Cricetulus griseus: one gene and its partners. The protein of the gene in region 4 interacts with the protein of the main gene of each other region in a pairwise test. Links are inferred from orthologs where the notes say so. Each region holds a gene or a part of one and is shown on either strand. Other genes may lie near its edges.

Evidence for each region.
Region 1: the proteins of Txlna (region 4) and Btf3l4 interact in binary tests that used the Homo sapiens proteins (3 or more experiments, as listed by UniProt). The two-hybrid records come from large-scale screens. The link is inferred for Cricetulus griseus from reciprocal best matches to the Homo sapiens genes TXLNA and BTF3L4.
Region 2: the proteins of Txlna (region 4) and Stmn2 interact in binary tests that used the Homo sapiens proteins (3 or more experiments, as listed by UniProt). The two-hybrid records come from large-scale screens. The link is inferred for Cricetulus griseus from reciprocal best matches to the Homo sapiens genes TXLNA and STMN2.
Region 3: the proteins of Txlna (region 4) and Ccdc146 interact in binary tests that used the Homo sapiens proteins (3 or more experiments, as listed by UniProt). The link is inferred for Cricetulus griseus from reciprocal best matches to the Homo sapiens genes TXLNA and CCDC146.
Region 5: the proteins of Txlna (region 4) and Tcl1a interact in binary tests that used the Homo sapiens proteins (3 or more experiments, as listed by UniProt). The two-hybrid records come from large-scale screens. The link is inferred for Cricetulus griseus from reciprocal best matches to the Homo sapiens genes TXLNA and TCL1A.
Region 6: the proteins of Txlna (region 4) and Krt20 interact in binary tests that used the Homo sapiens proteins (3 or more experiments, as listed by UniProt). The two-hybrid records come from large-scale screens. The link is inferred for Cricetulus griseus from reciprocal best matches to the Homo sapiens genes TXLNA and KRT20.
Region 7: the proteins of Txlna (region 4) and Hypk interact in binary tests that used the Homo sapiens proteins (3 or more experiments, as listed by UniProt). The two-hybrid records come from large-scale screens. The link is inferred for Cricetulus griseus from reciprocal best matches to the Homo sapiens genes TXLNA and HYPK.

The regions. Positions count from the first base shown.
Region 1 is NC_048595.1:40,982,015-40,985,066, reverse strand, and holds the end of Btf3l4 (transcription factor BTF3 homolog 4), read right to left. Parts: intron 2,535-3,052; coding exon 2,475-2,534; intron 936-2,474; coding exon 889-935; 3' UTR 501-888; downstream 1-500.
Region 2 is NC_048595.1:139,266,434-139,270,666, reverse strand, and holds the start of Stmn2 (stathmin-2), read left to right. Parts: upstream 1-1,433; 5' UTR 1,434-1,457; coding exon 1,458-1,539; intron 1,540-4,233. UniProt on the Homo sapiens protein: Regulator of microtubule stability. When phosphorylated by MAPK8, stabilizes microtubules and consequently controls neurite length in cortical neurons.
Region 3 is NW_023276806.1:173,067,771-173,071,703, forward strand, and holds the start of Ccdc146 (coiled-coil domain-containing protein 146), read left to right. Parts: upstream 1-1,133; 5' UTR 1,134-1,286; intron 1,287-3,933. Other genes in the region: protein FAM185A, read right to left, coding at 447-801. UniProt on the Homo sapiens protein: Essential for sperm flagellum biogenesis and male fertility.
Region 4 is NC_048595.1:23,393,078-23,397,081, reverse strand, and holds the start of Txlna (alpha-taxilin), read right to left. Parts: upstream 2,801-4,004; 5' UTR 2,683-2,800; exon of another isoform or gene 2,668-2,682; intron 2,134-2,667; 5' UTR 2,128-2,133; coding exon 1,962-2,127; intron 1,019-1,961; coding exon 680-1,018; intron 1-679. UniProt on the Homo sapiens protein: May be involved in intracellular vesicle traffic and potentially in calcium-dependent exocytosis in neuroendocrine cells.
Region 5 is NC_048598.1:189,486,419-189,490,435, reverse strand, and holds the start of Tcl1a (T-cell leukemia/lymphoma protein 1A), read right to left. Parts: upstream 2,801-4,017; coding exon 2,681-2,800; intron 1-2,680. UniProt on the Homo sapiens protein: Enhances the phosphorylation and activation of AKT1, AKT2 and AKT3. Promotes nuclear translocation of AKT1. Enhances cell proliferation, stabilizes mitochondrial membrane potential and promotes cell survival.
Region 6 is NC_048600.1:113,147,879-113,151,823, forward strand, and holds the start of Krt20 (keratin, type I cytoskeletal 20), read left to right. Parts: upstream 1-1,145; coding exon 1,146-1,556; intron 1,557-3,804; coding exon 3,805-3,887; intron 3,888-3,945. UniProt on the Homo sapiens protein: Plays a significant role in maintaining keratin filament organization in intestinal epithelia. When phosphorylated, plays a role in the secretion of mucin in the small intestine.
Region 7 is NC_048599.1:56,958,989-56,962,350, reverse strand, and holds Hypk (huntingtin-interacting protein K), read left to right. Parts: upstream 1-1,464; 5' UTR 1,465-1,486; coding exon 1,487-1,672; intron 1,673-2,175; coding exon 2,176-2,231; intron 2,232-2,511; coding exon 2,512-2,563; coding exon of another isoform or gene 2,564-2,571; intron 2,572-2,700; coding exon 2,701-2,796; 3' UTR 2,797-2,862; downstream 2,863-3,362. UniProt on the Homo sapiens protein: Component of several N-terminal acetyltransferase complexes. Inhibits the N-terminal acetylation activity of the N-terminal acetyltransferase NAA10-NAA15 complex (also called the NatA complex).

The DNA of each region.
Region 1 (3,052 bases), about 18 Mb from region 4:
AGTTATTTAGCAAGCACATGCTAGCTATTCCAGTTTGAAATCTACCAAACTGCAAATGTGAAGGGAAATAAAATATTGAAGATGGAGCTGTTCAAGGTGAAGAACAAAAAGAGGGTTAGGCACTCTCTCAGCTCTGTATGGAGAACTTCTGTCTCAAGCTAGGCAGGAGATAAGAGTATTATCAAAGGCTGACCAGTCCATTTCAAGACCAAAATAGGAGGGTGGGGACAGCAGGAAGAAAGCTAATAAAAGGAGTATTTCTGGGTCTGATTAAGAAGTGAGTCTAAGGCAGCCACACCAAAGGTACCTGACTTACGGCTCTGGCAGCAACCCGGGGGCAAAATATTTTAAGATATTTTCAATCCAGAGAAGTGTGTAAAAAATGTTAAAGTTAATTGAGCAAATTAAAACCAAAATTCCAACAGTAGGAATCTCTTCAGATCTGAAATCAAAGAAACTTACTTTTCATCAATTTTGTGCAGTATTAGGAAAAAAAAAGGTAACAAATGTAAAGATTTGTTTTATTTCTACTGGGGAAAAGGGAAGAGTAGATAAAACTGTTACCAATTGGCTGTCCACTGTGTACACACATACCCACATACATACATACATATACATACACACCAAAAGTTTCCCCCCAAAAAACAAAAAACCACCCTCAAACTGTACCAATACTTCATATTTTGACCAAAAGAATAGATCCTGGGAAGAAGTGCAAAATGCAAAATCAAATGACCAAGAAATGCTGAACAAACAGCATTATTAATATACAAAATATTTATATTACTGAACTAGTAACAGGTGATGTTCTCTGTGTCTGTAAAACTTTGGAACAACAGAGCTGATTGTTAAATCTAGTCCATGCCAGCTTCCAAACCCCAGAGGATTTTAGTTAGCTTCATTTTTCGATGCTTCATCAAAATTTTCTACAAGATCTGACAAAGAAAGGGGAAAAAAATAAATAAAAATGCAAATGAATCAAAATAGTTGCAACCAGCATTAGCCAAAAAACAGAAAAGGCAGAAATGAACTTATGACATTTCAGTAATAATGACTTTTATAAAACAGTAATCTTATGGAAATGGCCTTTAAAAATGTATGTAAAAACACAAAAGTGAATAACATTTTTATGTCAGTTTAATGTTAACAATTTTTTTAATTATTTTATTATTTTATGTGTATACATGTTTTGCCTGAATGTATGTCTGTGTACCATGTGCATACAGTACCCGAGGAGACCAAAAGAGGGTGATGGATCCCCTAGAACTTGGGTAAAAGAAGGCTGTGAGCCACCATGTGAGTGCTGGAAACTGAACCCAGGTCCCCAGGAAGAGAGGCCAGTACTTTTAATTGCTGAGCCATTTCTCTAGCCTTCCAACAAAAAATTTCAACAATAAAAATGTATACTGATAATAGGAGTGGTTTCAATTTAATACATGCAGGAAACAGAGCTTTGTGGAATATTTTCTGATTCTAAGTTCTGAATGACGAAATTTTTGTATTTTTATTCATCATATCCTATCACTGGGATCTCAGTCTGTACTCCATGGTCTTTATGAACTCTGCCTAAAGAATTTAGACAAAACACAAAGAAATAGCATATAAGACAGGTAAATTAATTTATAAAGAAGTAGAGCACACTCAAGGAGTACGTGTGGACAATGCTTAAGGGACCATTGACCCAGACTACATTTTAGGTAGGCTGTATACTATTTCTAAAGTCTCCAGAACAAACAGCTTTTTAAAATTAAATTTTATTTTGTGGATTTTCAAGACATGGTTTCTTTATGTAACAGCTCTGGCTGTCCTAGAACTGACTATGTAGACCAGGCTGGTCTTGAACTTATAGAGGTCCACCTACTTCTGCCTCCCAAGTACTGGGATTAAAGGCATTTGTCACCACCAACAGGCTACAAACAGCTTTTCTTTAGGGACTGTATTCTGTTCAGGTAAGTGACAGGCCTGTTTGGTTTGACACTGATGTAAGGCAATAGTGTATCTTTGTTCTTTATCAGATAGCCTTCTACTATACAATAATCTTTTATGAAGGTTTAGCATTCCTGGAACCAGGCTTAGATAGTATTATATAATGGCAGTTCAGGATGTCATGTCTCCTTCCATGGCCAGAGATAGAACTTAGGGAACATTTTTCTGACCTTAAGTTCCAGTCTTTGGTTTTACAGGCTGATAATTATGAGAGAGGGGTCCATCTCCAGTGTCTTCCAAGCCAACTAATATCTAAGTAAAACCCATCACTATCCATATCACTGCAAATCAAATGAAATTCAGTCAAAAAAATCTGAAATTCATCTATGCAAAAAGGGAAAGGAGATAAATTATTTTCCTTAGTTTAAAAAATGACACTGTATTATTTCATATGTGTGTACATGCACGTGCATGTGTAGGTCAGAGGACAACTTGTGCAAGTCTTACTGGCCTGAGACAAATCTTAACACTAACAAAATGTCATTTACCTGGAACATCATCATCTTCTTCATCAATGTCCTCTGGTTTTGGTGCTTTACTATCCAATACTATAAAGAGTTTATGTGAATATTATTAGTCACTGAGAACAAAGAACACTTCTAATACTTATCTCTGTCTAAATCTCCTATGGCTATTAAATACAGTCAGTTTAAAATTCACTTTTAATTTTTTGTGTAAGTAACATAAAAAACTAATATTTTAAATTAAATATATATTAACTATAACTAATTCCACTGTGCAGTAAAAGTAAAAGTTACATGCAAAATGAAGAATTTTACAAGCTTGGGCAAAGAATTATTCTTCACATAAAGTATTCGAGATTTCTTTTTTTTCCACTTCATTTGACCTAAGAAACTAGCTATGTAGTATGACCAAATGATCACTAAAATAAGAGGCTTTTTGATGGTTAGAGACAACAAGACATGCCTGAAATCCAGAATGTATGATTACCATGTTTATAATGGTAATCATAGTGGTAATCGACAATATTGTATGTAAATATTCTATAATACACACTTCATTAACTGAAAAAGCAAACTATAAGTTTTATGAAGCACACAGGTGG
Region 2 (4,233 bases), about 120 Mb from region 4:
AAATTGACAGTGTTGATCTTTGTGTGTGGTTGGAGCTTACTCTCAGATACACATCCTTGTGGCCCCTGGACTTCATTCTAAAAGCAGACCTGGATGTCTCCTTGACAGCTTTGGTATAGATCATTCTACTGCCTTTTATCCAGGGCCCCCATCTTTGTCATCAGTCATACATGACTTTAGCCTCTGTGAGACTCAGTTTCCTTACTTACGAGATCAGTAGTTGAGAAGTGGACTATAGATTTAAAATCTCTTAGAAACTTCTTAGTTTAGCATTCCTGTCAGCCTCTTGACTATGGTATGTCATCTGCAAAAGTCAGGTAGGGGAACACACATAATGTGGCTTTATGCTAGGCTACATTCATACTTACTCTCATCGACATGTAGTCACAGTCCATAGTTAGACATGGGAAAACATCTGTTGGATCTGCCTCCTGCTCGTCAATAAATGATGCACCTGTCAATGATGTATAAATTCATCTTTTAGGAATTCCTTCTTCCCACAAGGTCTAGACACTCACTGTCCATTGGATAATTAAAAGTCCCCAGTGATGATTAAAAGAGCCCACCAACTCACAGGTGTTATATGTGAGGTTATATTGCGTGACCATGGACATCCATTTCCCTATCACAAGCTACCATACACTATACTCATCATTTTTCTGTCATTTTCTTTAATTAATTTCACTAATTAAATAACTACCAAAAGTGATGGTGTCCCACCCTCTCATTCTAATTCTGTTCGGAGACGCTTGTCCTGGTGCTAGCCATGAAATGCTCACCAGGTCTACGAGGGCAGGAGTAATAGAGGAGAAAGGGATGTTGGGTGGAGAAGAGGAGGAAGGAGGGAGACCAGCACAGGCTAATCTACTGCTTCTCTGTAAGGCTGGCACCCATACTGTGTTGCAGAGGGAGGGAGATCCTGATCAGATCTCAGTGTGTGGGAAGAAGGTGAGATAAGAAAATGCATTTGGGGATTAAGAGAAAACAGCAACAAAGTTCCCTGGAGCGTGTAGCTGCTTAACAACTCTCTAGATGAGTTTGTGACTATCCCCAAACGAATAGTGGTGATGCAGGATGAACCTCCGAGAATCCTGAAGAAGACTCACACATACGTTAATTAGCCTGTCTCTGCTAATTTCCTCTGTTTCCTTTTTCACTGTTTTTACCGTCTTCCTTCCTGCTGGATCTCAAGTCCTTTTGTTTTGTTTTGTTTTAAATCTAACTCGCTTTCATTTTTTAGCTAACTTAATATAATATGCACTTCACATCCTCTATAGGGATGAATATATACATCAGAGTTGTTTATATCTCTCATTCATTGGGAAAGCAAACCAAGCAGCCTGCCTTCTGCAGAAGGCTATAATTATTGTTCAAATTTAAAGAGGCATTAAAAGGAAATTCAGTGAAGGAAGCATTCTAATCTTGAATCTTCTTCACTTTCAGCCTACAAGGAAAAAATGAAGGAGCTGTCCATGCTGTCACTGATCTGCTCATGCTTCTACCCGGAGCCTCGCAACATCAACATCTACACTTATGATGGTGAGTAGCCTGCAGCAGAGACACCCCTAGCTGCATAATTGACATGCGTTTGAATATATGTGCTTCTCTCTCAGAGCTCCTAACAAATTAGATGAGCATTTTATAGATCTCAGTGTTAATTTGCTGTGTCCAGCCATTAGGTCTTATTGATTGCCTATTGCTCACAACAGTTTGAAGTCAGTGCTAATCAGAGCACATTAATGTCTCTTAAGAGGCATGGCTGGCTTGTTCCCAGCATCCTCATCAGCATCCTCATCAGCATCCTTATCAGTATCCTAAGCAGCAGCAGCAGCAGCAGCAGCAGCAGCAGCAGCAGCAACAACAACACACCATGATCTACAGGATGTCTTTTCAAATAATGAAATACACTAAACTACAATTACAGTAGACCTTAATTTGCAAAAGACTATTTTTTTTACATAGATCATTCAAGTAGTAGAAAACCTACCATCATCACTATTTCTCTTTGTACAGAACCCATGTTTTGTGAGTAAATGAAAACAAGCTAATAATGATAATTAAATTCATAAATAAAATTGACTTACGACTAAAGTCACAAGCAAAGAGGAACTAAGTAGAAAATAATGTAACACCACCTGTGATGGTTCAGACTTAAAATTCTAGCACTAAGGAGTCTGAAGGAAGAGGATTGCAAGTTCAAGGTTAATCAAGAGAACATAAGACCCTGTTTCAGAAAGCTAAATAACACTCTACAGTTGGCATGACCATTGGCATTATTTTCTGTTTGTGTGCTTGTTTACTTTATGGGGGTTTTTGTTGTTGTTGTTGTTTTGTTATTTGAGAAAGGGTCTCTCTGTGTAGTCCTGACTGTCCTGGAACTCACTGTACAGAACAGGCTGGCCTCAAACTGAGGAGATCGTCCTGCCTTTGCCTCTCAAGTGTCAGGATTAAAGGTTTGCACCACTGTGTAGGGGTGCCAATTGACTTTATTGAAGTGCAACCTTTGAAGTTTGCTTTATGCCAATTCATGATGATTAGGCTAGTTTGGTTTCATTTCTGGATCTTCCAATGTATGTGCATGGCCCCAGGCAAGAGGATACTTAGCTCTTTGAACATCATTTACTCTCTCCTTCTAAGAATTTGTGGAAAAGGTATTTCATGTCATAGCCTGCTACCTAAGAGGAACCCAGGAATTATTCTGTCCTTATCAACACTATTAGTTAAAACCTCACCTAATTCAGCCAATAATGCAATCAAAATAGGGCAGTTATCTGTGCCAGATCTACCTGTGGCATTTTGATGTATGAGAGGCTCACAGTTATTCTGCCTAACCACATATGTAAAGATCATTAAAAAGAAGAACTCAGAGCCATTCTTCTTCCGGTGCTGTTCTGATGACACAAGCATTAGAAGGGCTAATTAACTTTCCAGAAGCAGCTGTCTCTGTATGCATGTAAGCAATCCATCTCCAACCAAAACTTCCACTAGAACGCATGCAGCATGTCCAGTTCCTGTAAGTGCACTGAGTTAATAAATCAACTACATAGATCCGTACTATAAGTCAGATGTGCTGTTAGTAGGAATCCAACTGTGTTTAAGAGACTATAAAATCTTTGCTGTGCTGTCACTGAGATCAGATGATGAATTCCGCATGGTCCTTGCCTTCCTTGGACTTGGGGCTCTGTAGAAGAGTCTTGAAACACACAAGGAGAGCACCAAATTGTTGGGACCTGAGAGCGAGGGTGGTTTCTACCGCTTTGGGACTGAGAGGCAGGAAAGCAAAGCTATGTGAGCTGTTTGAAGCCGAAGAGACAATTCCATATCACTCACACACCACTTCAAAAATACTCAGTAGAGAACTTCATATTTCCAGAGTGTTTACTTGGCCTTGTATTTCTGCCTTGACAGTAATTGTATGAACAATGTTGAGATCACATGAAATGCTCTTCCTGGAGCATTCATGAAAGTATAACACCATGCATCACAGTAAGAGATTTGGCCATTGAATGCGCGAGAATCCCCTGGAGGTCTTGGAACCACTCTGGAGGGTAACAAGAGACAGCTACACTTGAAATATTAGTGACACATAACAGTTGCTTAATCCCAAGAAGTTTCTGAATGCAAACAAAGATCAGTGGACTGAGACCAGAGGGTTGAGGTGTGGGGCTCAAACCAAACTACTAGGTTAAAATTGACCAATGAAGTTTTAAAGAAATCAGTAGATTTTCCTACATTGTGAGCTATGAAGTCATAAAAGTACTCAAAGACACTGCCTATTACCCATTTTATGTTATAGATTATTTTAGATTATAGATGATAGTGCAGGATTAATATATGATAATAAGCCTATTAATCGTATGTAATATGATTAAACCTTGAAAGTCTGGTAATCTACTTGTTGTTAGTATATATACCAATAATTAACATGGCTAGCAATTTTCTGTATTCTTTTGTTTAGTTAGCAATGAAAAATTATATGTTTACAGTAACCTTTTTTAAAAGATTTATTTATGTATATGAGAGCTCTGTCTTCCTGTGAGTCTGTACAACAGAAAAGGCATCAGATCCCAGTATAGGTGATAAAACGAGTGTTATTCCCTCATTAAAAAAAAAACAAGAACAGATGTAACTGGAGATCATTAGTAAAATAAATCAAATTCAGAAAGTCACATATCTCATTTTCCTTCATATGTCTTCATGTAGATATATATATGATATATATATATGATATAA
Region 3 (3,933 bases), on a different chromosome or scaffold from region 4:
TCATCATGGAGGGACATTTCAGCTGCAAACAGATGGTGCTGGGGAGGGAGCTGAGAGTTCTACATCTTATGCAGGCAACAAGTAGTCTGTCTTACTGGGAGTCGCTTGAGCATAGGAGACCTCAAAGCCCACCCTCCACAGTGACACACTTCTTCCAACAAGGCCACTCCTCCCATTAGTGCCACTCCCTTTGGGGGCCATTTTCTTTCAAACCATCACAGGTGGGTGTCAATGGAGAGCTAAACAAAACTTAAAACAGCACCTGTGAAAATTGATGCCACCCCTGCTGTCAATCCCAATCTCATCGTTACTTCTAACCAGAAGCCTGCTTCTGGTTACTGTCTCCATGCCTCTACTCCGTAGGTCTCCAAATCTATATAGTTAACTTATTATTTGTTCCATGAAGTTGGAAAGCAGGAATCCTAACCAGTTTTCACTGCACTTGCCAAACCTGAGGGGCGCGTCCACCTCCACCAAGGCCCGGGGGTCGATGTCGTCCGACAGGACGGCCACCTCCCGCCGAGCGGCGTCGTACTCCACCTGCAGGCCGCGCGCCCCGCGCTCTGCACCGCGCACCGCCACCCGCACGCGCTCGCCGTCCGGGTGCGCCAGGGGATCCAGGGCCCTGACGAGCAGGTGGCAGGGGAGCCGCGTCCTCAGCCGCCAGAACGGGCTCACCCGCAGCGTCCACTGCATCAGCGCCGGGTCTCCGGGCGCCGAGCCCTGCCGCGCCCCGTGCGAGCCCCGGAAGAGGACGCTCGCCCGCCCGCGGAGGGCGCCCGGCAAGAGGCGGCCCCACATGCCCGCTCCGCAGCGCGGGACCAACAAGGCCTCCTCGCCACCGAGATAGAGGCCCGAAGGCTGTAAAGCAAACCCGGTGACAAGTGACAACTTCAAAGTACCACTGGTTAAAACCCTGACCCTGCTCTTCCTCTATTGCCGCCCTTGGTCGGAGGCCGCCGGGATATGTAGTTCTAAAGGTAGCGGATATCCAAGTGCTCCAGGGGCCTTGGAACTACATATCCCAGGAGACAGTGCGCCGGAGAGATAGAGTGACACGAGCTGATTGGTGGAAAAGCCTAGCCGTTGCTCCAATCTCATTGGCCCAAGAGACCCACGGACCAATGGAAAGAGCGGAAGGGCCAGGCTGCACAAGCGGCGCGGCTACCTTGGATACCAAGGACGCGACTCGTTTGGAGAGTGTGGAGTTTGGAGTGAGATTCCCAGGGACTAAAACCCGCGCAGAAAAATAAGAGTCTGAATAAGGACCAGAACCAAGAGAAAGGGTAAGAACGGCGTGTTCACAGACGGGAAGTAGACGCAGAGCTGCCCCCTGTAGGCTGGGCCCCCTCCTCCTCTGCCCTGTAAGGGAACTTCCTCTTGCCTAGAAAGTACTGGATAGAAAAGAGAGCTGGGCTCCTGGCTCTGTCCTAACTGTAAGCAACCTTAAGCCACTCATTCGGTGCCTTTAGGTTTTACTATTTTCTTGTAGAATGACGGCAACAGTATCTCCCTTGCCTTGTGTGGGAGGGTTTTTACAAGGATCCATTGAAACTACAGTTGACAAAGTAGTGCACAGTCTACAAAACGAGTAAAGTGGTGTTTTAGGAATAGCATTGTTTCTAAATTGCTGGGAAATTTTGAGGCATTTGGTCTCGTTTAGATTTTTTTCTTTTTTAATTTTTTTAATTTTAATTAGAAAGATTAGTTTACATGTCAATTTCAGTTCCCTCTCTCTCCCATCCTCTCCTGTCCCCCCAACTAACACCCTACCTATCCTAAACCCTTTCTGCTCCCCAAGGAGGGTGAGGCCTTCCATGGGGGGCGTCTTCAGAGTCTGTGGTAGCCTTTGGGATAGGGCCTACGCCCACCCCCTTGTGTCTAGGCTCAGGGAGTATCCCTCCATGTGGAATGGGCTCCCAAAGTCCATTCCTATGCTAGGGCTAAATACTGATCCATTACAAGGGGCCCCATAGATTTCCAAGGTCTCCTCACTGACACCCTCATTCAGGGGGTCTGGATCAGTCCCATGCTGGTTTCCCAGCTATCAGTCTGGGGACCAAGAGCTCTCCCTTGTTCAGGTCAGCTGTTTTATAGATCTCTTTCACTACAAATGATCCTCGGGGTTAGTGGTAAAAAACTAAAAGTTTTTTTTTCCCATAAGACTTGTGAGGGGAAAGTCTTTTTTCCTGGCCCTATTGGTTTATCTGTGTCACAGGGACCTGGTCCTTCATTTTTGAGGTAAAGATAGAATGTACTAAATAACTCTATAAGGCTTCTTTCCTTCTTTATTATTAAGTAGGCAGTAAAAATAAGGAAAGTGTGGGGTGCAGCCATTATTTCACCCTTGCTTGCCTAGCCTCTCCCACTCTCTACAAACAATTCCCTAAATTCCTTAAGTATAGATAGATAAGTTTGATAGAATGCCAGTCCTATGTATCGGTGTTCACTTTTAATCCTCCAGAATTTGGAAAGCTGAAGCTGAGGATCTCAAATCTGAGGTCACCCTGCACTACATAAAGGGAACTCTGTCTCAAAAAATAAAATAAAATGGTGCCTTTAAAGACAGAAGCCCTCAGCCAAAATGAGGACCCCAAATCTTGGGACCTGAAGTAACAGAGAGATTGGTAGACTGATCTAAAGTCTTCAGCAGTGTCTGTATTATTCCTTTAGTGAAGATTATGGTAGCCTCGGTGCAGCAGCCCAGACCTGCTTCCAGCAGCCCAAGAAGTCCTCTTACCCTTGGGGACTTCCACTGAGGCGAAGCCCTTCCTTGGCTTTACTGCAAAAATTAATGTTGGAATTAGCTAGTATGAAAGAGTTGGAGTTGATTTAAAAAAGAGAGATTTTAAACATAGATTTATGAAGCATAGGGGTTGACAGAGATGATCACTCAGGGAAAATAAGACATGCTCAAGAACACAGGTGTAGGCTTTTCAAAGACATTATACCCTCAAGTGTCTTAGCAGGAGCTCTGGAGAGTCACTCTTTTGGTGGTTCTCAAGTTACGCCTTGAAAGATTTCTTAGAAAGGATTTTAAAACCTTTTCTCTCTTTTTTTCTCAATAAGTTATATTATTGGATGGTTCTAGAGGTGTCCTAGACTGGATTACTGTCCAAAAATAAAACCACGTGTCATAAGAATGGTAGAAGAGGGTATTAACTGTAAGAGGTATTTACTGTAGATAGGGTTTCTGGTGAGATTCCTAGAAAATTGCTGGTTTATAGCTGAGAAAGAAGAAAGGCCTCTTGTGTTTAGGTCTTGGGCGTGATCCATTGCTACTTCAACATTCTAATTTGGAGATATCTCTATATAAAAGAAATGTTACCTTTCTATTGGCACCCTTCATAAATAATGTTGTAACTTCGTTAGAATTCATGATTTCAGCTGACGAGAGGCACTGGTAGCACTCTGAGATGAAGGTTCCTTTCCTTCCCATGTCTCCATCATTTCTGTGGTTCTAGCCTGCCTCTGGAAGATATAAAATACATTTTATGCTAAGCAAGAGCCTGCTCTATGAATAATGTCCTTAGCTTTGTGTTTTATGTGGACATAATTATCAGATTAGTTTTCAAATTATCTTTTTATGAAAACCCATAGGCATATTTTTGAAAAAGTGAAAATGGCACAAGCAAGTTGACGATGAATTCAGATTACTTGTATGATTGCTACATATAGTAAATAAAATGCATCCATAATAAATTATCCTGTTTCTATAGTAATTTTCCCATTCTGAGAAAAATTAAATTAATAGAATTGCCAACTGAGCCCTAATGGCATATGTAATACTATCATTATTTCATTACTTTCAAATAAAGGAACTAAAACTTATTGAAAATTACATTTCTGGTTTCATGAGGTTGAGAACTGAGACTCTGATCGATATTAAAGTTACCAACACCTAACATGTATATATCACATGTAAATAGTGAC
Region 4 (4,004 bases):
TAAATGAGATCTGGTGCCCTCTTCTGATATGCAGGCAAATATGCAGACAGAATACTGTATATGTAATAAGTAAATAAATTTAAAAATAAAGAAAAAAGAAAAGAAAGCAAGGAACTCAGCCGGGCATTGGTGGCGCACGCCTTTAATCCCAGCACTCGGGAGGCAGAAGCAGGTGGATCTCTGTGAGTTCGAGGCCAGCTTGGTCTCCCGAGCGAGTGCCAGGATAGGCTCCAAAGCTACACAGAGAAACCCTGGGGGGGGTGGAGGGGGGGAAGGCAGGGAACTAAACAGGTAGAAGTTAATTTTTTGGATAAAGTAGACCCTCTCTTCATTCTCAAGAGGTTCATGGTTTACCTGGTTAATGTTGACATTTGAGATCTTTACCTTGGTGTAGCCCAATTTTGTTGCTTTCTAAATAGGGAAACTAAGACCCAGGAGTGGAGCATGAACATGTCCACAGGAAAAGAGCAGGTTGCCTTCACTTGCTTCCAAGGACAAGAGGCCTTGCCCAGGTGAGCAATCTGAACAGCTCAATGCTGTTACTCCACAGTCATGGCTTTGACTAAACTGGGGGATGTTCTGTTTTGAGAAGCAGATTCCTTTGAGTTCTGACAGAGCAGGCTAGCTCATGAAATGACAGGTCTTAACTCCCTCCCCTCACCAGTAGCTGCCCTCTCACCCAGACCCTTGGCTTTCTTCTTTTCTTGTGGCCTTCGGTGGTCTCGGTCTCCAACCTCATCACTTGCTCGGACCTCTTCTGAGCCTGGCTCCCCCTTGGAGGTTTCCTTCTCGCCATTGATGACTGGAATCCCTGGTTCAGGCTCCCCATTCCTTGCTGCATAGGTTCGGGACTTCTCTGCATCTTCCGGCTCAGTAGGCTCACCCTGTGCTCCCTCCTCGCCTGGGCCTCCCTGATTGTTGTCTACACAGTATGTACTCAGAATGTCTTCCAGCTGCCGGCTCAGCTCCTCAGACACATCACACAGGGGCCCAGACTTGGCTGCTTTAGCTTGAGCCCCTACAGCAACAAGATTAGGACACAGAATGAAAATAAGATGGTTACATCCCTGGCTTGAACTTTCTTTTTCTTTAACCCTAGACAAATACACTAGTTTGGGATAAATGTTGTTTTATTTGGTTGAGACACGATCTCTCTACAGAGCCCTGACTGTCCCGGAACTATGTAGACCAGGCTGCCCTCAAAGTCAGAGAGCTACCTGCCTCTGCCTCCCAAGAGCTAGGACTAAAAGAGAGGGCCACTACGCCGAGCCTCAGTTTAATTTTTTCAAACCTTAAGTTTACTTTGTTATAAAATGATACAATTATTATCACCCAAACATACTTCTTATGACCATAAAAGACAATTATGGCTGGGAAGTAATAGTGCTAGCCTTTGATCCCAGCACTTGGGAAGCAGAGGCAGGTGGATCTCTGTGAGTTCAAGTCCAGCCTGGTCTACAGAGTTCCAGGGCAGCCAGGGCTACACAGAGAAACCCTGTCTCAAAAACACAAAACCAAACAACCAAACAAAAAAGACAACTATGTAGATAAAGCACCACACCAGGGTTGGGTGGCATGTAGTAGAGACTCCACCTCTAATTCCTTTTTTTCCTACTCAAAACGCATTTTTGGTTATTTTTATAGTTCCAGAAATGTCTCAAGTATGAAGGACAATTACCCCCCCCCCACACACTGGCAAGTGTTTTCTGGGAACATGACTTTGTTTGTGGGGTGCCTCAGTTGTCATTTAATTTAAACCAGTCAGAGCATGCTCCCAAGGTTCCATTCCAGGGCTAAGGGAGGGAAGCTTCATCACCTGCCTGGGAAACACGAGACCCACACAGAATGGGTATTGTTTCATTCCATAGTTCCTCCTTCCTGGGTAAACACTGGCCTCAGCACCGAGGCCAGTCCCAGAAACTCCTCCCTCTGCCCACTGGAAAAGCAGAGCAGGCACACACCCTCGGTCTTCCCAGGAGCCTGGTTTGTGGAACCTTCAGCCTCCGCCGCAGGAGCTGTCTGTCTGGGCCGTCCCTGGGCTCCCTCTGGTGCCGCTTCCCGTTGCCCGGGGCTGCTCTTCGGGTTGGAGTGTTTGGCAGGCCCATTCTTTTTGTCTTGGTTCTTCATTGTGATCTGCAAAGGCAGAAAACGGGTAGATCCTTTGAAGACGACACAGTTGCTATTTTCAAGACTTCAAAAAATTTCACAACCTAGATCAGAAATCCCAACGCCAGGCGCTCCAAGCTTCAAACAAACTGGCCGGCCTTGGCGGAGACTCGAGGGTCCCTGCAGGGAGGGTGTCGGAGGAGCTGGCCCTGAGGAGAGTGAAGAAGAGGCCTCCTTTCTCCCGAAAGCCACTTCCCAGCAGCACCACTCCGCTCCCTCTCGGAACGCGAGCGCGGGATTGGCTCCCCGCCGCACGATGACGTGGCGGGACGCTCCAGCCCCCACCGGCCCCCGGCCCGGCCCCACGTGGGACCCCCGGGCGCGCGCGCCCGCCCGCCCGCCAGCCCGCGCGGAAGCCACCCACACCCCGCGCGCCCTCTAGCCCCACGGACGCATGCGCAAGGCGGCGACATCGCCACAGACCCCCGCACGGAATTAGTTATTCCTCTGCAGCCAACGCAAGCTGGGCCACAGACCCTCAGAAGAGCTCGTCCCACCTACCGCCAACAGACGTACCTCACCACGGACGTCCGATGGCGTCCCCCGCTCTGGCCGGGCACCGGAAACCCGGGTAACCGCTGCCAGCAGGACCGCCCGCTCCTGCCGCAGCCAATGAAGAGCTAACGCTGGCGCGGAGCTTGCTGGGAAAGACGAGGCCAAGGTGGCTTTGGAGTCGTGAGCGGGAACGAACTACGAGTCCCTTCATGCATTGCGGCGGGGCACAATTCCCGAGATGCCTCCCTTTTTAGGGTCTCTACCCGCTGCAGGTCTGAAATTCTGCAGTACAGTCTAGAGATTCCCGTCAGTATCCTTTCGAGTGCAGAAGCTGTGATTGGCGCTTGGCTGTTTGTTTCATACGCTTCTCCATTGATCCCTGTGGACGTGTATGACTGTTTCTAGGACCTCTGAGGACTCGAAGAGGGATAGAAGGCTGAGCTGGGAATTAGGAGACCTTTGTTCCACTCCTAAACCAGTAATTTGTCATGTGCCTGGCATTCTATCCCCCCCCCCATTCCAACAGAGGGGTTTTGTTTTTGTTTTGTTTTTGGAGACAGGGTTTCTCTGTGTAGCTTTGGAGCCTATCCTGGCACATCCTGGAGACCAGGCTGGCTTCGAACTCTCCTGCCTCTGCCTCCCAAGTGCTGGGATTAAAGACGTGCGCCACCAAAGCCCGGCGTCACTGTCTTCTCTTATTCTTTTTTTTTTTTTAAGATTTTATTTATTTATTATGTATACAACATTCTGCTTCCATGTATATCTACACATGAGAAGAGGGCACCAGATCTCATAGCAGATGGTTGTGAGCCACCATGTGGGTGCTGGGAATTGAACTCAGCACCTTTGGAAGAGCTCTTAACCTCTGAGCTATCTCTCTAGCCCCTGTCTTCTCTTCTTGTATCTAATAGCTTGGCCCTCATAATTACTCGGAGAAAGTACAGGATACTTTGTGATCTAGGAAATATAGGACAGTATGGAAAAGGCGAGATGGCTTTTTTAATTGCTTGCTGTCTGTTGGAGACAATGTTTCCTTATGTGTAGCCTTGGCTGACCTGGAGCTCCCTATGAGGATCAAACTGGTCTTGAACTAAAGACAAAGGCGACCATGCCCAGCTAAAGGTTATATAATCTAAGGCTGCATCAATATTGAGTGGTAATAGCAGATTCAAAGCCAGAAGCCTGACACCAGCACCCATCTTAACCACTTTCTTCCCAGAAGAAATAATCGCCGTCACAGGCTTTCTCTGAGGCAGTGTACTGGACACCTCTGTCATCACCAGCTTGGCAGTAGCTCTCTCAGGAAGGGATTGTAGCAGAGGGAGTTTGGCTTCCGGCAACTT
Region 5 (4,017 bases), on a different chromosome or scaffold from region 4:
ACACTTACTGTCTTTACACACCAGGGTGGGGATCCAAAAGTCAGACCAGCCTGATGGAGTCCTGGTGCCTTCTCACGGGCAGAGTGAGCCCAGGGTCCATAGAAGTCCACAAAGCACACACAGAGCATCTCTGCCTCCCTCTTCCCCCACTGTTCCTGTTGCCACTTCCTTCTAGGCACAATGCCTTGGGGGGGGTTCTCACTGTCTACAGTAAGCCTCCCCAAAATCTACAGAGAAGTAACTCCCTTTGAGGCAGTCCTTTGTTCAAATGTATGTCTATAAAGAACAAATATTGCACAAACCGATGTTAGTGTGGAGACCAGACATCCAGTTTTATTAATTGAAATGAGGTCACATGTGTGGTTTTGAAGCGTGGTCTCACCCTATCACCCTGGCTGGCCTGGGACTTGCTATATAGACCAGACTGGCCTCACACTTACAGAGATCTATCTACCTGCCTCTGCCTCTGCCTCCCAGGTGCTAAAATTAATGCACCACCACTTGCAGGAGTCAGCTCTCTTCCATCATGGGGGTCCTGCCACACCTCAGGCCATCAGTTTGGGTAACAAGCACCTTTTTACCTTTTCAGCCATCTCACCAGCTCCTAACAATGAGTTTTATCCACTAATTCAAGACGAAAAACCCAAATCAACCCCCCCCCCAAAAAAAAATCACCACCTAAACACACAAACAAAACCCTGCACAATCAAACTCTATAAGATACTCCCAGTGAAGATCTAATGGGGCCAAGTTGCACAGGCCTGCAATGGACTACTCAGTAAGTTCAGGCAAGAGGATCACAAGTTCAAGGCTACAAAGGCAACTCAAAGTCAACCTAAGTAACTAAGACCAAGTTTCAAAGTTAAAGTTAAAAAAAAAAAAGTTAAAGTTAAGAGCATTGTACAAATGGCTGGGCTATAGCCCTGCAGTACAGCTCTAATCTAAGTTACACAGGGTCCCAGGTTTCCTCCTCAGCACTACTCAGGTTGGAGGATGGAGTGGAGGAGTGGAGGGGTGGAGTGGGGGGCAGGGTGGGGCAGGAAAAACAAATGCAATTTGACACTCCAAACAAAATGACTCAAAAATATGACATGCAAATACAAACCAACTTCACAACTCTCTACAGAACAACTCACTGTCTCCCTTCCCACCTCCAGTTTCTTTCTCCCACAGGACTCCCCACCAGCCTTGTTATCCTTTTGTTGGCCACCCAAGTCACATTGCACCACCTTCCCAATAATAGGGCTTCGACCGCATTCACTGTAACCCATTGGTGCAGACCTGTGCTTGGTGAAAATAGTTTTGTGAAATGTTCTGCCTATGAGATAAATCAGAACTGGTAACTCGGATCACAGTGCCAGTTGTGTAAGCATGCTAGCATTCAGGACTGTTAGCCAACATTCTAAAGTCTAACCACTGTTATAGATAGCTTTCCCTTGTCTCTGTCAGTCCTGAGAAGTAAATTCTGTACTGTAGTTTGTCACAAGACTCCTGTTCAGACAACATCTACCACAGCTCTGAAATGCTCTCTGGTTCATGGTTTTGGGGGTGTAAAACATAACTTGCAGTGGTGGCGAACACCTTTAATCCCATAACTTGGGAGGCTGAGGCAGGCAGATCTCTGTGAGTTTGAGATCAGCCTGGTCTACAAAGCAGAGTTCTAGGACAGCCAGGACTGTCACACTGAGAAACCCTGTCTCGAAAAAAAAAGAAAGAAAGAAAGAAAGAAAGAAAGAAAGAAAGAAAGAAAGAAAGAGAGAAAAGAAATTTGTACAACTTCAAAATAAAAACATCCACCTACGCCAGGCATTAGTGGCACACGTCTTTAGTCCCAGCACTCAGGAAGCAGAGGCAGGTGGATCTACAGAGTTCAAGGCCAGCCTGGTCTACAGAGCAAGTTCCAGGACAGCCTCCAAAATAATACAGAGAAACCCAGTCTCAAAAAAAAAAAAAAAAAAAAAAAAAAAAAAAAAAAAAATCCACCTACACTGTCTTCACACATCGACTTTAACCTTAAAAAAAGACTAGATATATGTAAATTTAATATTGTAAAACAACAGCAAGAATTTAAGAGCCCAGAATTGCAGAATCATGGTTGCACCATCTAGTAGCGGCACCCCAATGTGAGGTTGACAAGCCGCTGGCTTTCCCAAGTGAAGACAGTCCCTAGTCCCCAACTACTCTCTAGTTTATCAAACGATGTCTCCACAGTTTTAATTCTGCTTTTATAGCCTTCATTGATTTTACAAGAGGAGGGCATGTCAATAATTTCTGCCTGAAAGTACTTCTAGAAGAGATTTCTTTTGAAAACACCAACATTCATTAAGACCCATCCGGAGGCTTCCAGAAGCGAAACAAAGTTAAATCTTATTACTAACATGGATACTACTAGATGCCTTAAAGATATTCCAGTTTTATGGTTTAGGAAAGCCCTGTTTCACCCCAAATGATAGTCATACCCCAGGCTAGGTATGAGAGGGCCTTATCCCTTGTCCTCAGGGTGTTCCCACCCTCCTCTCCAGGTCTACCAGGCCCAACCCAAAGACTTTCATCTGCAGCGTCCCTAGCTGTTTCTGCCACAAGGGACCCTCTGTTCCCTGGTCTCCAGCTACCAGGACTCCTAGGCCCAGACAGGGCACACCCCTGCTGCCCCATCTGCTGGCCCCAAGGCGGTTGGTACCTTGAGGACTATGGGCAGCCAGCTTCGTTTATTCTCATCCAAGTACACGTGCCTCTCCCAGATCCACAGGCGTTGGGGGTCTTGGGGTGTCTCTGGTCTGTACACCGGCTGTTCAGCCATGGCATCCGGCTGGAGCAAGAAGCAAAGATTTGCAAAGGCAATATCTGATAAAAACTACTCTCTGGTGGTGGGCAACGAGAACCTAGACTATTTATTACCACCAGGTGTGCGCCTGCGCCCCCTGGAGCGAGGCGAGGTGGGGCGGGGCAGGGCGGAGCCAGCGGAGTGGGTGGGGCGAACCACAAGTTTGGTAGGCAAGGCAACCAGGGGGCTTCTGGGTCTCTGGCTTGCAGGCCTGATCTTCAGGGCCCCAGTTAGTCCTGGACTCCTCCGGGTACACCGGGCAGCAGCAAAGGTACACCCAGGTCCTGTCTTAGGAGACACTGCCCTCCGCTTTCTCTATGGTGGAATCCCAAGGTCCAAGGCAGTTACTGTGTATGTGGCTGCACAGGCCACACCCCATAGCAGGCCACCCAGGGCAAGGTCAGTCTTCACTTCTGGCATCAGAGACCTGAGAGAGCATGGCTCACTTCTGGACCCTCCGGGCCTCTCTCTGTCACCTTCAGCCTGTCCTTTGGGGTGTCAGAGGCAATTTCCTTTGCAAAGTTCAGTTCGTGTGCCTTCGCTCTTTCCCACGTGACTTTTTCCATGGCTCTGATGAGGCTGTGGTCTTCTAATAGGTCTTGCAAAACAGACTTTTGAAAACAGGGGTTTCTGTCTTTGTGCTCCGACTTAGTGGACACATCATTCCAGACCCATGCTTAAAAAGAAACCCTTCCTGCACACCAAGAGTAATGGATTTGGAAAGTCTCTGGGTTGCTCAATCAAAACTGTCTCATTGTAAATAAATGAGGAAAAACGACTTCCCTTTAGTTTACGGTAACATGTGCCCATTAAGGCAATTAAGAAATTAATGAAAAACATGTAAAAACAAGTTCCAGGCCCGTTGCTCAAACAACCCTTTAGCTAGCAGCTCTGAGCCTCACCTTCTAGCCCTTTCCTCTCGGAGGATGCACAGAGGAAACCATTGGTGGTCTTTGGAAGGTCAATGAGTGATCAAGTGTGGACATCGGATCAAATCCCCCAGGTATGCCAAGAAGGCCTGCGGTCAGCCAGGTATATTCCGATTAAACAGGAAAAGAAACCAAGAAAAGGCTCAAGTCCCCCAGACCAGTGCAACTCTTAATGGTGTTAGCATTTAGTATTCAGACTGCTGGCTTTCAGGCTGATTTCCCTGTGGATGGCTCTTTATCCCCAGATCCAAATAGCTGCATAGA
Region 6 (3,945 bases), on a different chromosome or scaffold from region 4:
GGCTCCTGCCCTAGTCTAGGAGTTCCTGGAAGCTGAGAGTTGCTGGAAGTCAAGAAGAGAGTTGGATTTTCTTTGGAGGTGTGGCCACCTCCCACACCCCAGTACACCCATAAGTACACAGGCAGCACTAATTAGATTCATGAGTTATTTTTAAAAAGAGGGGAGAGCATAAGTTGGATGGGAAATGTGTTGGGGGCTTCTGGGGCAGTTGGAGAGCGAAGTCAGGGTAGATGTTATCAAGATACATTATATACATATATGAAATTTCCTAAAACTACTATTGAAAGTATTTTCAACTCCAAAATCAACACCTATACTCATTTACTTATTCACCACATTCAGTTCTCAAACTCCGTGTGTGTGTGTGTGTGTGTGTGTGTGTGTGTGTGTGTGTGTGTGTGTGTGTGTGTGTACTCACGTGCCCATGTAGCAGGCTGGTGTCAAACTTGCAGTAATCCTCCTGTCTCTGCTTCCCAATTGCTAGAATTACAGGTGTGCACCAGGACACCCAGCCTCATACAAGATATTTCAACAGACTAAAAATATAAGTTCTAAACAAGGATAAACTCAAAAGCAAATTTAAAAAAAAAAAGAGCATAAAACAGAGGTTCTGAAAAGCAGCTCGTCATTGGAACAAGCCTTTGTCTGTTCTCACCAGTATGACTTACCATTGTGTTCCCACAGCTGTCTTGTTCAAAGCCTGAATTATTCATATAGATTGTAAATATTCTTTATTTGTACACGGGGATGAAAAAAAAACCTGCCAGGGCAGGTGCAAGATCTGAAAGAACACCCCTTCCTCATTCTTTTTGATACTTGTGTTCATTAAAAAGAAATCACCACTCCCTCCTCCCCCCGCCCAGCGCGCGCGCGCACACACACACACACACACACACACACACACACACACACACTAGAAAAGCCTTAATAAAGTGTCTCTAGTGGTCATTTCTGGAATAGGATGAAACATATTGCTGTACAAAAGAGGGGGAGGTAGCAAAGTGGACTGTGTCATTCCTGAGGTGACAAGGCAGCAGAGGAGGAGTGTCTCTCCTGAACTCTATAAAAGGTCAGCTCTCCAGCACCAGAGACAGACAGGCTGTGCTCCAACTCCAGGCTACAGGTGCTGCCTCCCAGGATCCCAGATGGATTTCAGTCGTCGAAGTTTTCACAGAAGTCTGAGTTCCTCCTCACAAGGCCCAGCACTTAGCATGAGTAGCTCCATGTACAGGAAGGGGAGCGCCCAGCGCCTGGTGGCTGCACCCAGTGTCTATGGTGGGGCTGGAGGCCACGGCACTCGCATCTCTGTCTCCAAATCTGTAGTGAGCTATGCGAGTGATCTCTCCAGTGGAGGGGACCTGTTTGCTGGCAATGAGAAACTAACAATGCAGAACCTCAATGACCGCTTGGCAAGCTACCTAGAAAAAGTGCGGTCCCTGGAGCAATCCAACTCCAGACTTGAAGTCCAGATCAAGCAGTGGTATGAAACCAATGCGCCTAGCACCATCCGGGACTACAGTCCCTACTATGCACAAATCAAAGAGCTGCAAAATCAGGTAAGTCATGGACCTGTGTTTTCGACATTACTGTTTAGTAGTATACTAGATTAAGGGGGGGGGGGTTGTGAGTGTATGCTAGGCGAATTCAAACACGTGAAGCAAATTAGGTTGAACTTTATAGCTGAAAAATCTATTTTATCATGTGGCATTAGTGTAAACAGGATGCGTTTAACCCACCTAATTACATATAAAATGTGATGATCTTATCATCCAAAATTACAGCCTGTGTCTTTGTCGTGGCTTCCAATGTCAGGTCTTCATGGAGAATAATCTTATTTTTAAAAGAACTCCAAGGGTTTCTATGTGAGTTTCCCACTAGTCTTCACCAACTTTGAAGACTCAGATCAATTTAAAGAGATTTTTCTCTTTTCATCCATATAAATGTTACAATTCAAGTGTCATCCTGCTATGGGTATAAATATTACAAGGGTTCAGAGTGCAGACAGACTACAGATATTATAGTGTCTGTATTGACTGACAGATGGGTAGATGATGGGTGGTAGGGTGGATGGAAGGAACAGCTTTTGAATACAAGATCTCCCTGTATATCCCAGGCTAGTCTGCACCTCACCGCTCTCCTGCCTCTACCTCCTCAGCACTGGGATTAGCCACCATGCTCAGTTTCGCTAAGTGGATTTTTTAATGTCCTGTTTAAGTTTCTGCTGACCATCATCAAGCATTTTATAAAGCACTTCAGCAATAATAAAATGTTCTATTGCCCCCAATTCAAATTTATTACAATCATATCACAATCTGTTCCTGTGTCATCCAAGATAGGTGGGGTTCTCTCTCTCTCTCTCTCTCTCTCTCTTTATAAACCCAGTGGACTAGAAGTGGGAGACTTTGCTCCGGGCTGACAAGGTCAAGCACAGCACACCATTTGCTTTGCTTCAGCATTCTTATCTAATCAAGGAAAGTGTCCCTTTCTGGTTTGCGTATATTTAAAATGATTACCCCTTTAGAGCAAAGGCCATTGACTTGGCCCGAAGGCCTCTTTGCTGGAGCTGTATTATAGGTACCAGTGCAGCCTGATTCAGATTCACAGAAACAATCAGCTCAGGAAGCTAAGGTGGTTACATCACCCTCAACAGGGAGTTCCTTCAGGCTTTCGCTGAAACACATTCAAAATGATTGTTCTCCAGCACTGCTCTCAAGGTTGATGCTTCTGAATTGACTCGGGGATTACCCATGATACCTCAGAGCAGCCATTAGTACCTTCTAGCTGGAAGCCTCTCAAGGGACCTCTCTCCAGGAATAGCTACTGAAAGAGATGTGTCATTTTCATGTCTTCTAGAAGTAGACTTCCCGTCTACATGCATCTTAAAGAATACAGTGCTTGTCTTTCAAGTACAAGAACCTGAGTTCGATCCCCAGAACCCAGGTTAAAAAAAAAATTGGAGAATGATGGTGTGTTCTTGTAATCCCAAGATCCCTGGGGTTTGCTGGTCAGCCAGCCTGACCTACTTGATGAGTTCCAGGACAATGAGAGACCCTGCCCCTCCCCCAAAAAATGTGGACAGTACCTAAGGAATAGCATGGAAGATTGTCCTCTGACCTACACATGTATATACCTGTACATATGAACACAGAGAGAGAGAGAGAGAGAGAGAGAGAGAGAGAGAGAGAGAGAAAACCAGGGTGTGTCCATCCTTCCATCCTAATGCCTAATGCCTACCAGATGGCAAGTTGTCATTCACTCACTGTTTCATAGACACTAGCTGGGTACTGAGCATCACACATAGAAGAATGTGTGGGTAAATAAAGTGTAAGGTGGAGACAGGCCTGGACCAAAGCAACTGTCACTCAGGTAAACGCAGGAAGGCTGTACAGAGCCACAGAAGCAGGGACACGGCCCTGCTAGAACTGGGGGATATCATTGAAGGCCCCCTTGAAGCCACGGTGTCTGAGCTGAGAGCTGAAGGCATAGGAGCTCCCCAGGTGAGGAGGGCTAACGGCAATATTCCAGGCATGAACATCACCACAGACAAGACACTCAATAAGGTTCAGGGATATGGATGAAGTCCAACTTCTGTTTTGTACAAAAACAAGAAAGTGGGTCAGACCAAGAGTCCTGTTTTTAACTATTACCTCAATACCTGTGTCACTATTGCACCTAATTACTCTCACACTTTTGAAACGGACATCGCTTTTGATGTAATTACAGTTGTCTCTGAGGACAAATGAGATCTTTTTTATCTCCAGCCCTGATGAAAATGTCATTCTTTCTCTCTCTTATGCTTTCCAGATTAAGGATGCTCAAATTCAAAATGCTCGGTGCGTCCTGCAAATTGACAATGCTAAACTGGCTGCAGAGGACTTCAGATTGAAGTAGGTTCCCTACATCACAGTGACTATAGGTGTGTGTGTGTGCAAGTGTGCGTGCGTG
Region 7 (3,362 bases), on a different chromosome or scaffold from region 4:
GCACAACCTGCAGCAGGTGGAAAGTGGCAGTTCCTGCACATACTCAATACACAGCCCCTGAGCCACTGAGCACTGGGCATTCTGAGTTGCCAAATAGGTGGGCACACAGCACCGAGGGCATCTGGATCTGCAAAGTTTGGTTATGAGAAAAGGTAGGACAAGTCACAATGCATGGATAGGTCTCACTTGTAGATTGACACTTCTTTCCTGTTCTCAATCCAAATGTTACAGGTTTCTTTTCCTCACTTTGCAGCCCCTGCCAACTTACCCCTTATGCTTTGCCCCAGACCCCTTCTACCACTGTCCTAGATAGCAGGAGGCAGATTGCTGAGGTCCCCAAATGGAGAAGGATATAGAGCAGTAGGCTACTAGAAGACTCTGAGAGAGGGCCTCCTAGAGTGGTTGGGAGCTGGTCAAAGAAACAGGCCCACACACAGCAAGACACTGAGGATAGAGCAGACATAGGATGCAAAGGTGAAGCTTTGCAAGGGTGATGTATACTGTGTGGGGTTAATCGAAGGTAAAATCCCAAAATCCTCAATCCTACCATCTTGTGGTGAGCTACGTAGGATTGCCTTTTCTAAACACTAGCAAGATTTTCATTGTAAGACCTTAGTATAGGCTTGAACCACCTATTTTTCCCTAAGGCTATATGGATGGGAATGTGGGATGAGAGGTTTACTGACTACTGAGGCAAAGAACCGGGTTTGCCTCCCCAACTCTTTTCCAGCCAAGGGCATCTTCAAGTCTGCCCCCTCCAATGCCCTCTCACCTGATAAAAGGGGGTTTTCACTATGACATCGCCGATTCCACCGTGCTGCTGTGCAAGGCCCTGGCTGGTGGTCTGGGCTGTCACCGCTTTTGCTCCTATCATTTTTGGCCCAGAGGTTAGGCATAGATCCGTTACTGGAAGAGCTGATGAGGAACAGCAGCTTCTCAAGAATTTTGCCCATTGGGCAGTCGCTGTGCTGGGCTAGTCACTCAGTCTTAAAGTAGTAGAATGGGCATGTTAGAAAATGAATACAGATCATTAGGAAGTGGTAAATGCAAATACTTTTGTGAAGATTCCTTCACTGGGCTTCGTATTCCGGATCATTTGGACTGTCTTCTGAGATTAGGAGTAGTTGGCCTATCTGATCTGGGGATTAGTTTTTAAAATTGGTTTAGGATTTAGCCATCGGCCGCCTTGGTTGGTCAGAATTCCTTGGGGGGGGGTGTTGTGGGAGGGCGGGAAGGGGAAGGAGTGAAGGGATATGAAAGGATTGTTCTTCGGTGAAGAAGTGAGGCTGTGCATTTAGGTGGTGTGGGTAGTGAACAGATTAGTCGAAGGAGACTGCAGAAAACACAAGCCTGAGAGGAGGTCAAAAGCGAACCAACCGCCTTCCTAGCAGAAGCTTCTCAAGACAGGCACAAAGATGCGGTTCACAGCCTGCCCCGCCCCTATCTGGGCGGAAGCTGTTTGCCGGAAGTCGTGAAGCGGCAGCGTATGCGGCGGCGCGGTGAGATCGAAATGGCGACCGAGGGAGATGTGGAACTAGAGTTAGAGACCGAAACCAGCGGCCCAGAGCGGCCTCCCGAAAAGCCACGGAAGCATGACAGTGGTGCTGCTGACCTGGAGCGGGTCACTGACTATGCGGAGGAGAAGGAGATCCAGAGTTCGAATCTGGAGACGGTGAGGTTGACCGGGAGCTTGTATGAGAGGGCTTGAGAACGGGGTAGGGGTGATTTGAGACTGACCCGTTTGCTCCGGCAGATCGCGATAGTGGGAGTAGGCAGTAGGATGGGCATCAGCGACAACACTCACCCAGTCCGCGAGTTGCTTAAGAATGTGATGGAGATTGGGCTTAAATGGATCTCAGGTGCAGGGAATTAAGTGTGGTCTTTTGGTCCCGAGAACACTGGTCATTGTGAATACTTGAAGAATCACGTGGTTTTTATTTTATTTGGTTTTTCGAGACAGGGTTTCTCTGTGTAGCTTTGGAGCCTATCCTGGCCCTCGCTCTGGAGACCAGGTTGGTCTCGAACTTACAGATCCACCTGCCTCTGCCTCCCGAGTGCTGGGATTAAAGGCGTGCGCCACCAACGCCCGGCGTGGTTTTTATTTTTGGTTTTGTGTTTTAGATAGGAAAATTTGGGTCTCATGGTGGTAGGTAACTAGACTCGTGTTTCCTACAGGCTATGTCCGTCATTGGAGACAGACGGTCCAGGGAGCAAAAGGCAAAACAGGAGCGGTAAGTTTAAAGCACACTGTCAGCGTAAGGGGTCCTCATTCTCCAGAAAAAAAACAAGTTTTTAACCAATTCCTGTAGATCTAGGGTTTACAACTTTGTTGTAGTGACACTGTTTTTAGGGGAAGGAAAGCCTCCAGTGGGAGGGGTGGGCACATTTATTTAATATTTTCAGTCAACCTTATTCCACCTGTTTGCAGTGTGAAATTGGGATGTTACTTTTGGGAGTTTATGGCAGAGGTTGAGGATGAAGACAGATGCATATATACACATATATTCACAGGGAAAAGGAGCTGGCGAAGGTCACGATCAAGAAGGAAGATCTGGAGTTGATAGTGAGTAGTAATGCTTGGATGGATGCACAAGAGAAATTCTACTTAATTTGGGTTCCTAACAAGTGGAGTCAGGGATTAGTTGACACTTTTATGCCTGAGAGGAGGCATCGGTGACATGATTTACTCTTTCCTTGCAGATGACAGAGATGGAGATCTCTCGAGCAGCAGCAGAAAGGAGCTTGCGGGAACACATGGGCAACGTTGTGGAGGCTCTTATTGCCCTAACCAACTGATGATGTGCTTTTTCAGACATTCTGGACTGATTTACTGAAATAAAGTGTTTTATTATGCTGTTCTTTTTTTTTTTTTCAGTTTTATCTCAGATTAGATGCATTATATATTTTTGTTGTCATTTTCTATGTTGGACCTTCATGAAATTATGAACAGTCAATATAAAGAAGTACCTAACGTTTAAATACAGGCTCTATTATTATTATGCTTATTTTGTGTATGCGTCTGGGCATTTTCCTGACATTGTGCTTGATGTCAGATGACAACTGTACTTCCACCATGTGGGAATCGAACTCAAGTGCCCTTTTCCAAAAAGCTTTTCACCAGCCTTAAATAACATTCTAGGTGGTATGCTAGTCTCATTCATCTGACTAGCTCTTGGTAATATAGAGTACATTGGTATCCTCTGTAAAAGATCCAACTACATGTGCTTCTAGGATAGTTTGTGCATTTTATTTTTTTCAGATAGGTTCTTCCTGTGTAGCCCAGGGCGTTCTCAAACTCAGATGCCTTCACTTAATACTTGAGAGCTGCAATTTCAGTCACCTTTCCCAACTCTCTAGGCTAG